Linked DNA regions of Macaca mulatta. The main gene of each other region encodes a partner of the protein of the gene in region 2 in a complex. Links are inferred from orthologs where the notes say so. Each region holds a gene or a part of one and is shown on either strand. Other genes may lie near its edges.

Region 1 (5,977 bases), on a different chromosome or scaffold from region 2:
ATGACATGATTGCATATTTAGAAAACCCCATCATCTCAGCCCAAAATCTCCTTAAGCAACTTCAGCAAAGTCTCAGGATACAAAATCAATGTGCAAAAATCACATGCATTCTTATACACCAATAACAGACAAACAGAGCCAAATCATGAATGAACTCCCATTCACGATTGCTTCAAAGAGAATAAAATACCTAGCAATCCAACTTACAAGGGATGTGAAGGACCTCTTCAAGGAGAACTACAAACCACTGCTCAGTGAAATAAAAGAGGACACAAACAAATGGAAGAACATTCCATGCTCATGGATAGGAAGAATCAATATCGTGAAAATGGCCATACTGTCCAAAGTAATTTATACATTCAATGCCATCCCCATTAAGCTACCAATGACTTTCTTCACAGAATAGGAAAAAACTACTTTAAGTTCATATGGAACCAAAAAAGAGCCTGCATTGCCAAGACAATCCTAAGTCAAAAGAACAAAGCTGGAGGCATCACGCTACCTGACTTCAAACTATACTACAAGGCTACAGTAACCAAAACAGCATGGTACTGGTACCAAAACAGAGATATAGACCAATGGAACAGAACAGAGTCCTCAGAAATAATACCACACTTCTACAACCATCTGATCTTTGACAAACCTGACAAAAACAAGAAATGGGGAAAGGATTCCCTATTTAATAAATGGTGCTGGGAAAACTGGCTAGCCATAAGTAGAAAGCTGAAACTGGATCCCTTCCTTACTCCTTATACGAAAATTAATTCAAGATGGATTAGAGACTTAAATGTTAGACCTAAAACCATAAAAACCCTAGAAGAAAACCTAGGCAATACCATTCAGGACATAGGCATGGACGATATTTGAATTAAGAGTTTGCCTTACATTTTACAGATGAGAAAAATGAATTTGGGAGAGTTTGCTCCCAAATTCAGTGTTCTCATCTGTAAAATGGGTATAATAATGGTGCCTATCTCTTAAGTAGCGATCAGGAAGAGGGTGGAGGATGAATGTAAACTGCTTAGCACCTCACCTGTGAGAGCAAGCATTCTGAGGGTGCTAGCTTTCATTATTACTTTGGCATCTCTGAACTTACGCGTTTTCTTGGGCTGCCTCTTCGGCTTTTGAGACCTTTCTGTAGCAATATATCATCTCAATGAGCAGCCACAAAGTGAGGAAGACCAGAAGGATGTACATCATGATTTCTGAGACCACAGAGGTGAAGTCCTCTCCGGCTGAAAGAAAGAGAATGAGGCTCAGAATATGCAAGACCAGCAAACCTAGGGCCGTCATTGGAGCCATATTTTAAAATACAGCTTAAATAAAGACTGAGTAAAAAAACTCAAGAAGATGTCAAAGGAATTCCAAATCCTGACTCTCCCACCATTGACTTTCTCACTGGCTGTCGTCGGTTGCTCAGGAGCCAGGGAAGAGGGAGTGGGATGCCTGGAAGAAGCAGCAGAGCAGTGGAAGGAATCTTGGCCTCAAAGTGAGCTATCTAGAGCTGGCTCTCCATTTTGCTATTTACAGGTATGTAAACAACATTTTCCCTTACTTGAGACTCAGTTTCTTAGTTTGTAGGATGAGGATAATAACACCAGTCAGGGGGTTGTGAATATTACATTATCTAATGTATTTCAGAACGTCTTGTGAGATTAAAAGTCTACACAGATGTAAGGAACATGCCTTATTTCAGCTGCCTCTGACTTTTGAGCTGCCGATGGTGGAAGGTGGTATTCCTGGGGAGAGAGCATTGGAAAACTCATTCAGGGCCAACACAGACAGCCTCCATGTGATATGCGCATGTTCTCTACAAGTCTGGGTTAGAAACAAGACCTTCCAGGTCATCCCAAAACCAAACATCAATATTGGAGGATTTAGTGTATCAACCACATTGTCCCCAGGGCTGTACATTTGAAACAGTTAGGATCCTGCCATTTCCCTGCTGAAAACTCTTCAATGCTCCACACTGCCCTCACGATGAAGTCCCAACTCTGTTCACATGACACGCAAGGGCCTTCACAATCCAGGCTTTCTTACCTCATTTCCATTTGGTTGGCCAGAAAAAACTGCTACACACTGTGGTATGTTAGAATCTGTGAACTTTTCTTCCTTTTCCCTCTTCCTGGATTGTGTCTCTCACCTGTGGCTAGTTCTGTGCTAATATCCTCTCCTGCTTTGCAGTCTCCCAGTAGTTCTAGATTCCTATGAGGTCCCACCCTTTGTGAAACCATCCCCAACTTCTCATGCAGAGCTATTCACAACCTTCTCCATGTACTTTTCTTTTCTTTCTTTCTTTTTTTTTTTTTTTTAGATGGAGCTTCTCTCTTATCACCCAGGTTGGAATGCAATGGCATGATCTCGGCTCACTGAAATCTCCCCCTCCAAGGTTCAAGCAATTCTCCTGCCTCAGTCTCCCAAGTAGCTGACATTACGGGCGCCCACCACCACGCCCAGCTAATTTTTTTACTTTTAGTAGAGATGGAGTTTCACCATGTTGGCCAGGCTGGTCTTGAACTCCTGACCTCAGGTGACCCTCCCGCATTGGCCTCCCAAAGTGCTGGGATTATAGGCATGAGCCACTGCGCCCGGCCTCCATGCACTTTTCTCATCCATCTATTATAAGAGTTGTATTGTGTTGATCTTTCTTTTCTGTGGACTGTGTGCTTATTGAGAACATATTTATTTCTGGATTATCTGCCTGCTGTGTAAATCTTAGAATATTTAAAGTGCTCAATAAGTACTTATTGAATGAGTGAAAATAAATATATATATTTTTTGTTTTGTTTTGTTTTTTGAGACGGAGTCTCGCTCTGTCGCCCAGGCTGGAGTGCAGTGGCGCGATCTCGGCTCACTGCAAGCTCCGCCTCCTGGGTTTACGCCATTCTCCTGCCTCAGCCTCCTGAGTAGCTGGGACTACAGGCGCCCGCCACCGCGCCCGGCTAATTTTTTGTATTTTTAGTAGAGACGGGGTTTCACCGTGGTCTCGATCTCCTGACCTTGTGATCCGCCCGCCTCGGCCTCCCAAAGTGCTGGGATTACAGGCGTGAGCCACTGCGCCCGGCTGAAAATAAATATTATCTTATTTGTTTCATGATCAACAAAAAGGAACATGAAAACATACTACATGGCAGATATCCTGATATATCTACTCCTTGCTAGTGGGAGGAATGTTGCAGCTGCCTTTCCCCTTGCCAGCTCTCAACAGCAAGTCAGATTTATGATCTGCAGTTGTCCATTGGATCTAAGTCACCCCCAAATCCTTGGTTGTTAAGAGTACAGCACAGCCTGCCATAACTTTCAGCCCAGAAAGCAGTCCAAAGGCTCCAGGATCATCCAGGTTTTCAGCTGGAGCCAGAGGTTATAGATGCAGTGTGAGGCACGTGAGAATGCCGTACAGCTCAAACGTCTCACTGGCTTGCTACCACCTGGTGCATTATTTATGATTTGTTTGGCTTAAAGCATGCTTTCTCTTTCAAAATGCAGTATCCCACAAATGGCAATACAGGAAGCTGTCCTCAGTATTTTTAGTTACCTCTAGGTGAAGAGGCCTCAGGTTTCTGCCTTAGGGCCAGGAGGTGACAGCCTATGCCAGAATAAACCCAACTTGAACAAAGAGAACCAGGGAGACCTTCTAGGACCACAGGAATGGAGGACATGTGGGGTTGGTGGGCAGGTGTCATGGTGGGGGAGGGGTGCGTAGCTCTGAGCAAGATGAGGGCAGGGAGTATCTGATGTCACAGAGGCAAAAAAGGAAAGAAAAAAGAAAAAGTGGCAGGTGGTGGGGGTGGCGGCGGCGGGAAAAGCAGCCGTGGAAAGAAAGCCCGCAGGATAGGCAAACAATCTGGATTTTCGTCCTGCTTCCAGTGCTAATTTGCTTCATGTCCCTGAGCAAGCCCCTTGCTCTTGCAGAGAACTCTTCTCCCAGCCACAAAATGAGGGGCACCAGAGCTGCGCCCTCCAATCACCTGGGGAGTCATCCAACTCGCATATGACCTCACTCACCCCTGCCGATCTCACACCTGCAAGGGTGCTGCAGAGGTGTCTACATTTGGAGGAAGCCAATGTGGGCAAGTCTGATGTCTGCCCTTTATCCAGAGGCTCTGGATTAAATAAATGATATCCACGCTTCCTTCACACCCGACCATCCACGAGGCTCTGTGGCTCTGATAATAAACTTGTTTTTCCTTCTGTTTTTACCCGAGGCTTGCTCTGGTGCCTGGCAGACGAACTAGCTCAGCCTTGCCACACTTCCCACCAGCTATGCACGAGGGTCTCTGGAGCCAAAAGCCTGAGCGAGCAGAGGTGGAGACAGTTGGACACTGTGCTAGGGTCTGGCAGGCACCAACCGAAAGTTCCAGACGGTGACCAGGAGAGGGCGCCAGGGCCCCACCCCGGGAGGAAAGGCGTGTAACAAACGGGGGCTAAAGGAACTTCAGACAAGGGGAGTACCTTAGAGAGCCCCTGGCCCACCCCTTCATTTCACACCAGAGCAGCGGGGCTCAGAGCAGGGAAGTGACTCATCGGGTCTGAATTTAGGAGCCCTGAGAGTCCTTCTGCGCTTTCAGAATTGACCTACCTTCCATTTTAGTCATATCGTCTGACCCGTTCGTTCATTCACTCTGAGGACTGAAACTTTGCTTCATTATTTTTATCACAACGACATGATAAAAAATGAAAAAACCTGTGGCCTGGAGGTTAGGATTCCTGGATCCTTTTTTCTAAGAAGAGTCCTGTCTTTAACTTGATCTTTTCTTTCATGCCCCACGCTTTGGCCGGCTCACCAGCAGTGATAATGCTGGAGATAGACTGAGAAAGGCTGGAACTCCCCGCTCAGGATGCAGGACTCCAGTTGCAACAGAAATACCTGAGTTAGGCTGCTGAAAGGCCTTCCCACGCACGAACATGGAACTAGCTGTAGGAGTCCAAAGATTTTAAACAAGGCTAGAGAGCTATTGACCTGTCCCCTTCTCCCAGCAGAGAATGAACTATGTAATAAGAGACGCCACAGATGGGGAAGGGGTGGCACGTGTGATTACTGTGAAGCAAGACAAAAGAAGAAAAGATTGTCAAACTTTGGTTTAGAGAGAGGTTCTCAAAGTGCGGTCCCAGCAAGCAGCACAGCCTGCCAGGCAGCGTGTCACGCAATGCAAACGCTCAGGCTCCACCGACAAAAGCAGAAAGGCTGGCTTCCAGAAAGCGCTGCAGGAGATTTTCAGGTTTGCTAATGTTTGAGAACCCCTGGCTTAGAGGCATGTATTGCTCCCATGCAGAAGGAGAGATGACTTCGAGGTAACCTCATGAGATTTCTCTGAGCCCACTGAGTCAGGGATTCAACATAGGCCAGAGAAGAAGGCCTAGCTGAATCAGTAGCTTTAGGCCTCATGGAGGCTAACCTCTTTCTCTAAGGGACCAGGAAGAGCTCATTCTATCATCTCCAAGCCTTTCTGCTTTGAGGAAAGGCACAGAAAGACAAGCTGCTTGGGCGGTTTACAGGAAGCTGGCCACCAGAGGAAGATGGGTCAATGGTGACATTTGTAGATGTCATCATTCCAAATACACAGGTTTTTGCACTCTTTAAGGGCCTCACTCATGTGGAAAACTGCTGTCCTACCCTTCCCTGTCCACAGAGAGCAGAATGCCCTAGAGACCCTGTGCCTCAGCCTCACCCTCCTCGGTGACTCTTAGGGGGATCAGCCGCGTCGTCTTCACAAAGGGCCGATGCGCCTCAAACTCAAACTCCCGGGACACATTGCAGGTGTAGAGGCCAGAGTCGTTCAGAGTGACGTTGAGCACAGTGATGGACACGTCCTGCAGGTCCTTGCTGCCATTCCACTGCAGGCGCCCCTGAAAGGGGCTCTCTACCTCCTGGTGGCCATTCCGATACTCGTAGATCTGCAAATAGAGGAGCAGACGAGGGTAGGGCCAGGAGAGGAGATGGCAGGAGAAAGCTGAGTTACGGACAGGGCAGAGAAAA
Region 2 (5,977 bases):
AACAGAGGATACTAGCTAGCAACGAGCACAGAGAAAAACAGAATTGAGATCTACAAAGACCTCTCTATAATGATCCCATTTAATCATTTGTGTCACACCCAAACTGAAGCAAGATCTATACCTGATATTTTGAGTTATGAGTTATGTATGCTGATATATATGATCATTTCTTGTTTCAACCAGTTAGAGTGGTGTTTTATATCACTGGGAATGAGAAGTGTACTACTATAACTACAAAGGGCAGAAGATACTGAAGTATCTTTTACATGTTGGGCACTGTTCTAGGTTTTATAATAAAGAGGAGAGTTATGGTCCTTTCCCTCATGGTGCTTACAGTTTAATAAAGAACATAGAGAAGTACATTAACAATTAAATACAATGCTAATGTGACAATTGTATGACAAGGGTCTTCTCGAGGTGAAACACAAGCCATGTGGACAGGCAAGGTAAAATTGAGTCTAACCTGAGATTTTTTTTCAGCCTTTTGGGAAATGTACTTGATCTTTATGACATGAGTAAAAAGAAAATACCAAGTCTTGTATTCCCGTAAGAATCATTTTTTAGTAAGCCATATCTTTTCCATAGATGCAGTGAAAGTTACTTATTTAATTCACTAAAACCACTTCAGTTATTAGGAAACTTATAAGTGAAAGCTTTCTTAGTTAATACGTAACATTTTTATAGACCAGTGGTTTTCAATCTTGACTACACAATTTAATCAACTGAAGATTTTCAAAAAATCCTGATGACTAGGTCATATCCACATACCAATAAAATCAGAATCTCTAAGAATGTATTCTAGGCATCAGCATAGTTTTATTAATTCCCCAGGTAATTCCAATGCCAGGAAAAGACTGACAGCAGTGTTACATTTAAGTGCTTCTTAAAATTTAATGGGCACACAAATCACCTGGGAACAGTGTTACACTGTAGATTATGATTGCATAGGTCTGGGGTCTGGGAGTCTGCATGTCTAACCACCTTCCAGGTGATGCCAATATTACATTGAGTAACAAGGTTAGAAGCTAGTGCTATCCAATGGAAATATGATGCAATCACATATGCAATTTTAAATTTGCAGTGGCCACATAGAAAACACAGAAAAACAGGCAAATTAATTTTACTAATACATTTTATTTAACAAATATATTTAGTTAAATACAATATACAATTTGTATACAATAAATACAAACATATTTGTATTTAACTAAATATATATTTAACTAAATACCAATAAATAAAGGGAGACTATTGCATTTGTATTTAACTAACAGTATTTGTATTTAGTTAAATACAAATACAGTAGTCCCCCTTTATCCAGGGCAGATAAATCCCAAGACCCCCAGTGGATGCCAGATGCAGAGGATGGTACCAAACCTCATGCATACTACATGATCTGACAGCCCAGACAGCTACTAAAGGACCGATAGGTAGCGTATACAGCATGAATATGCTAGACAAAGGAATGTTTCATGCCCAGAGCAGGACAGAGTGGTATGGCAGGAGATTCCATTACACTACCCAGAATGGCATGCAATTTAAAACTTATGAGTTTTATATTTCTGGAATTTTCCACTGGATGTTTTCAGACAATGGTTGACCACAGGCAACTAAAACCACATACAGTGCAACTGAGCATAAGGACGACCTACTGTATTATCATTTAAAAATGCATTCAACATAAAAATCATTAATGAAATAGTTCACATCACTTTTTGTGTAAGACTTCAAATCTGGTGCATATTTTACATTTACAATACATTTCAAATGAGACTAATCATATATCAGTTGATAATGGCCACATCTGGCTAGTGGGTTACTCTATTGGACTACCACAGTTACAAACCATTAGATCCCATCAATGTACATCATGAAAATACCAAACTACATTATGCCAGTTTTCAAGGAAAATGTAAAAGAACTGACTACTCACCAGTAAATTTCCAATTAAAATGACCATCAGGTAAAAAGGAATACACCAGGATTGGCCTGCAACCTCCATACAGTCCCACAAGGTCTCTACCCACTCTCCACAGAGAATTCGGAACACGTTCAGGTAGGAGTGGAAAAAGTCATGCATGTGCCAGCGTGGGAGTTGACAGTTTTGGTCTATGTGGCAAACAAATTCTTCATAATTCTGACCAAACAGCCTCATGCCGAATGCAGCAGAAAAGAACATGAATATGAACAACAACAGGACCAAGTCTCTCAGGGTCACCCATGCATTACTAAGAGACCGCATCAAAATCTGGAATGTTGGCCAATACTTCCCCAACTTGAAAATTCTCAACTAATAGAGCAATGTAAAATCAAGAACAAGAAACAAAGGATGAAAAACCTGGTCAGTGTATCAGCGTTATACACATATACATATATAGCGTTTAGAGTTTTAAGCATTATTAATATTAACTACTGAACATTCATTTTATGTAAAATTCTTAATACATCTTAAATATTTGATAATTTTGTATACTCAGTCTAAATATATCCTCTTCTACTGATGTATTTGTCAATTCCCATTAAGCATTATACTGTTACAATTCCTCTAGCTTTATATTTTCATAACTATTAGGGGAAGTATTCATTCTTTGTTTTTGCTTTTCACAACATATTGAATATTTTTCCACATTTTTCCCATATGTTGACATGAAAATGATATTGAAAGTCTTCCAGGATCCACTGGATTCTGATGAAGGTACTATCATGTATTTCCCTTTTAAAATAACATGTCAGGCCGGGCGCGGTGGCTCAAGCCTGTAATCCCAGGAGGCCGAGACGGGCGGATCACAAGGTCAGGAGATCGAGACCATCCTGGCTAACACGGCGAAACCCCGTCTCTACTAAAAACACAAAAAATTAGCCGGGCGAGGTGGCGGCGCCTGTGGTCCGAGCTACTCGGGAGGCTGAGGCAGGAGAATGGCGGGAACCCGGGAGGCGGAGCTTGCAGTGAGCTGAGATCCGGCCACTGCACTCCAGCCTGGGCGACAGAGCGAGACTCCGTCTCAAAAAAAAATAAAATAAAATAAAATAAAATAACATGTCAAAGACCAAACACAACATTCTAGGTTTAGTTTGGATAGTCCCCTTCCTTTCACTAGATTTTTAAAAATTTCTGTTTATACAGAACAAGATTACCTTAATATTTTTGGTCACTATATCGCAGTAAACTTACAGTCAACTAGATCTCATACATCATTTTTATACAGGCTATACCTTCCTGACACTTTCTTCTCAATTTTTGTTTGTTTGACAGAGTCTCTCTCTGTCACCCAGACTGGAGTGCAGAAGCACAATCATGGCTCACTGCAGCCTCCAACTCCTGGGCCCAAGTGATCCTCCCACCTTAGCCTCCTGAGTAGCTGAGACTACAGGCATGAACCACCACTGTGACTTTTTTTATTTTTTAGAAGTGGAGTCTCACTATGTTGCCCAGGCTGATTTCAAATTCCTTGCCTCATTTCTTGACTTTTTCTAGTGTTCAGTTGTCTTTCTGGACTCAAGAGTGAGATCTTACATTTGTCTATGAAAAAAATTAATCATCTTAAATTCAGTCCATTACCAGCCTTTAAAATATTTTGATACTATCTTTTAGCACATTTTCTGCAATTGCCAGTGCTGTTTCCATAAATTTGGTGACAACACCCTGTATATATTTCTCTTATTCATTAGCAAATATTATGGATGAGGATTTAAGATAGGATTCTGAATGAGCTGCTCTCTAGGAAGTAACCATTAGAATAAGATCGAACGGACTTAATTGTTCTTAATTCCTGCTACATTCCTTCAACCTGTCACCAGAATGCAACCATGTATAACTTATCGAAAGCTTATTATTTCAATAAACATTATTCTAATAACATTACTCCTTTGTTTAATTTTCTGAGTCTCACCATTACCCTACCTCATAGACATACACTAATTTTTACCTAATAATTATTATGGTAACATTCTGCTGGCCTGACTGGTCTTCCTTTGTACCTGACATTTAGAAATACTCACCTTTATTTCGGCTTCTTGGTGTCATATTAGAATTCTACTTTGGAGACTCCTAATTTTCTTGCTTTCCAAAATGTACTCAGTTACCCTGACCCTGCTTTCTAAAACTGTATCTCAAATTTCCTGCATATATGGCATTATTTCCTTTAACGTTGTGGTCAAATAACAGCATTGGAGACTGCTTACTCTTTCCTTGGCAATAAACTCTTTATATATTAATCAATTCATTTAACACTTCCAATGTCCCAATGGGATAGATATTACTGTAGCCCCATTTTATGTCTGCAGAAACTGAGATAAACTTCGATCAAATAAAAGTTAGGTATTGGATTCTACTTACCATCCTGAATAATCGAAGAAGAGCCATTCCTTCAACATTTGCTAGACAAAGTTCTGTTAAACCATGGAACACTATTACACTATCAAAAATGTTCCAACCTACTTGGAAATACCCATATGGATGCATTGCAATTATTTTAAAAATCATTTCTGCTGTGAAAATTCCAATGAAAACCTAAATGAAAACCAAACACACAGGTGAGAATATGATTCCAAGAGCTGTATCAGAATCTTCACACAAAAACTCTGTAACACACACTGTTTACTTGTCACTGTCACATTCTTCACAGCTTCTCTGTCAAGATCTGGTTAGTTGTGGAGTCTGCATTATAAGGACAGACTCATACATTTTATTCAACAATCTAATGTCAAACATTATATACAGAATCTTTTATTATTTTAATAAAATTCATCCTAGAAGAAAACAAACGAATATTTCAGGGTGAAGACCTTTCAAGTTTGAATGATTATTTTTGAGGTACGGAGCACATGGTATGATATTTAATTTTTCAACCTCTGAAAAAACAGCACGAACCTATGGAAGCTGTCCTTTAAAAACTGTACTGGCAGAAATCACTAAATTGCTGTTTTGGTACCAAATAAATGTATAATTTGAAACTTGTTGCAGTTTGGCTGCTTTTATTAGTACCAAGCAACTAAACAACAACAACAGGGAAAGAAAATACATTTAAACAATATACATTTGCTTGAATGTGAACTATTTTTAAACTCACAGGAATTTGCTTTGTCTTTTGAATTGTATGTGAAAAAGGACAGGTGAATCTCAAAAATACCAGGCTAAAATGATAAGTTCCAATCCTGGGCAAAGATACATGGTTAGAACAGACAGGGCCAACTGCTGCTTTAATCAGAATTAAGAATTCAGGAGTCAGGTGCTTATTATTTCACCTCTGCCCTACTCTGGTCTATGAGCTAATGGTACCAAGAGACTGTATATTTGGGAAGGGAGGGGCAATAAAGAATTTCCATGTAATGTAACTGCCAAGCAGCTGGCTATGAATCCCAAATTTAAACTGGGGAATTTTAAATTCCAGCTGTAAAACTATTCAATGATAAGAACCTTTACAAAGCAGGGGTTGGAGAGATAAAGCACAAACACGAGGCTTCATTCAATAATTATGCATATTGCCACACATTGGAGTTACAGAATAAAATAATGGGAATAATGATGAACAAAGAAAAGTTCAATGATAAGAAACTACAAGTGAAAATAATGTACAATGAGAGTCTTACCAGGTTTCCAATGTTGAGAAGATTGTTAGTTGATTTACTCATTGGATAATGCTCCAAGGCCAGAAAACATATGTTTAAAATTATGCATATGATAAGGAAAAGATCAGTAAATGGTGCCATTACAATCCTATGGACAAATTCTTTCAATTTTGACCAACAGGGAGAACAATTCCATATCAAGAAAGTTGTCGCAAATTTATACCAATATAATGGGCATATCTTTTTGGATTTTTCAAGTTCTGAAATGAAAGAATACAAAAGTTAAACATTCTGGCCAGGTGCAGTGGCTCATGCCTGTTATCCCAGCACTTTGCGAAGCCCAGGTGGGCGAATCACCTAAGGTTAGGAGTTCGAGATCAGCCTGGCCAATATAGCGAAACCTTGTCAA

Evidence for each region.
Region 1: the proteins of SCN7A (region 2) and SCN3B are in contact, whole or in part, in a cryo-EM structure (PDB 7TJ9), measured with the Homo sapiens proteins. The link is inferred for Macaca mulatta from reciprocal best matches to the Homo sapiens genes SCN7A and SCN3B. Residues at the interface, in NP_002967.2 of Homo sapiens: Arg269, Glu293, Tyr296, Leu298, Glu299, Leu305, Gln315, Cys316, Pro317, Glu318, Gly319, Tyr320, Asn922, Ile923, Thr926, Cys927, Lys929, Ile930, Phe939, Ile956, Tyr957, Asp959, Gln960, Ile966, Tyr970, Met973, Ile974, Tyr977, Ile978, Leu981; in NP_001035241.1 of Homo sapiens: Val25, Cys26, Val27, Glu28, Val29, Arg44, Ile46, Lys50, Arg51, Glu52, Glu53, Val54, Asn95, Gly96, Ser97, Asp99, Gln101, Asp102, Phe126, Phe128, Ala130, His131, Pro133, Val135, Thr154, Ser155, Ser158, Glu159, Met162, Leu165.

The regions. Positions count from the first base shown.
Region 1 is NC_133419.1:124,253,346-124,259,322, forward strand, and holds part of SCN3B (sodium channel subunit beta-3 precursor), read right to left. Parts: intron 5,896-5,977; coding exon 5,670-5,895; intron 1,236-5,669; coding exon 1,097-1,235; intron 1-1,096. UniProt on the Homo sapiens protein: Regulatory subunit of multiple voltage-gated sodium (Nav) channels directly mediating the depolarization of excitable membranes.
Region 2 is NC_133417.1:71,396,218-71,402,194, forward strand, and holds part of SCN7A (sodium channel protein type 7 subunit alpha), read right to left. Parts: intron 5,829-5,977; coding exon 5,590-5,828; intron 4,511-5,589; coding exon 4,337-4,510; intron 2,291-4,336; coding exon 1,934-2,290; intron 1-1,933. UniProt on the Homo sapiens protein: Sodium leak channel functioning as an osmosensor regulating sodium ion levels in various tissues and organs. While most sodium channels are voltage-gated, SCN7A is not and lets sodium flow through membrane along its concentration gradient.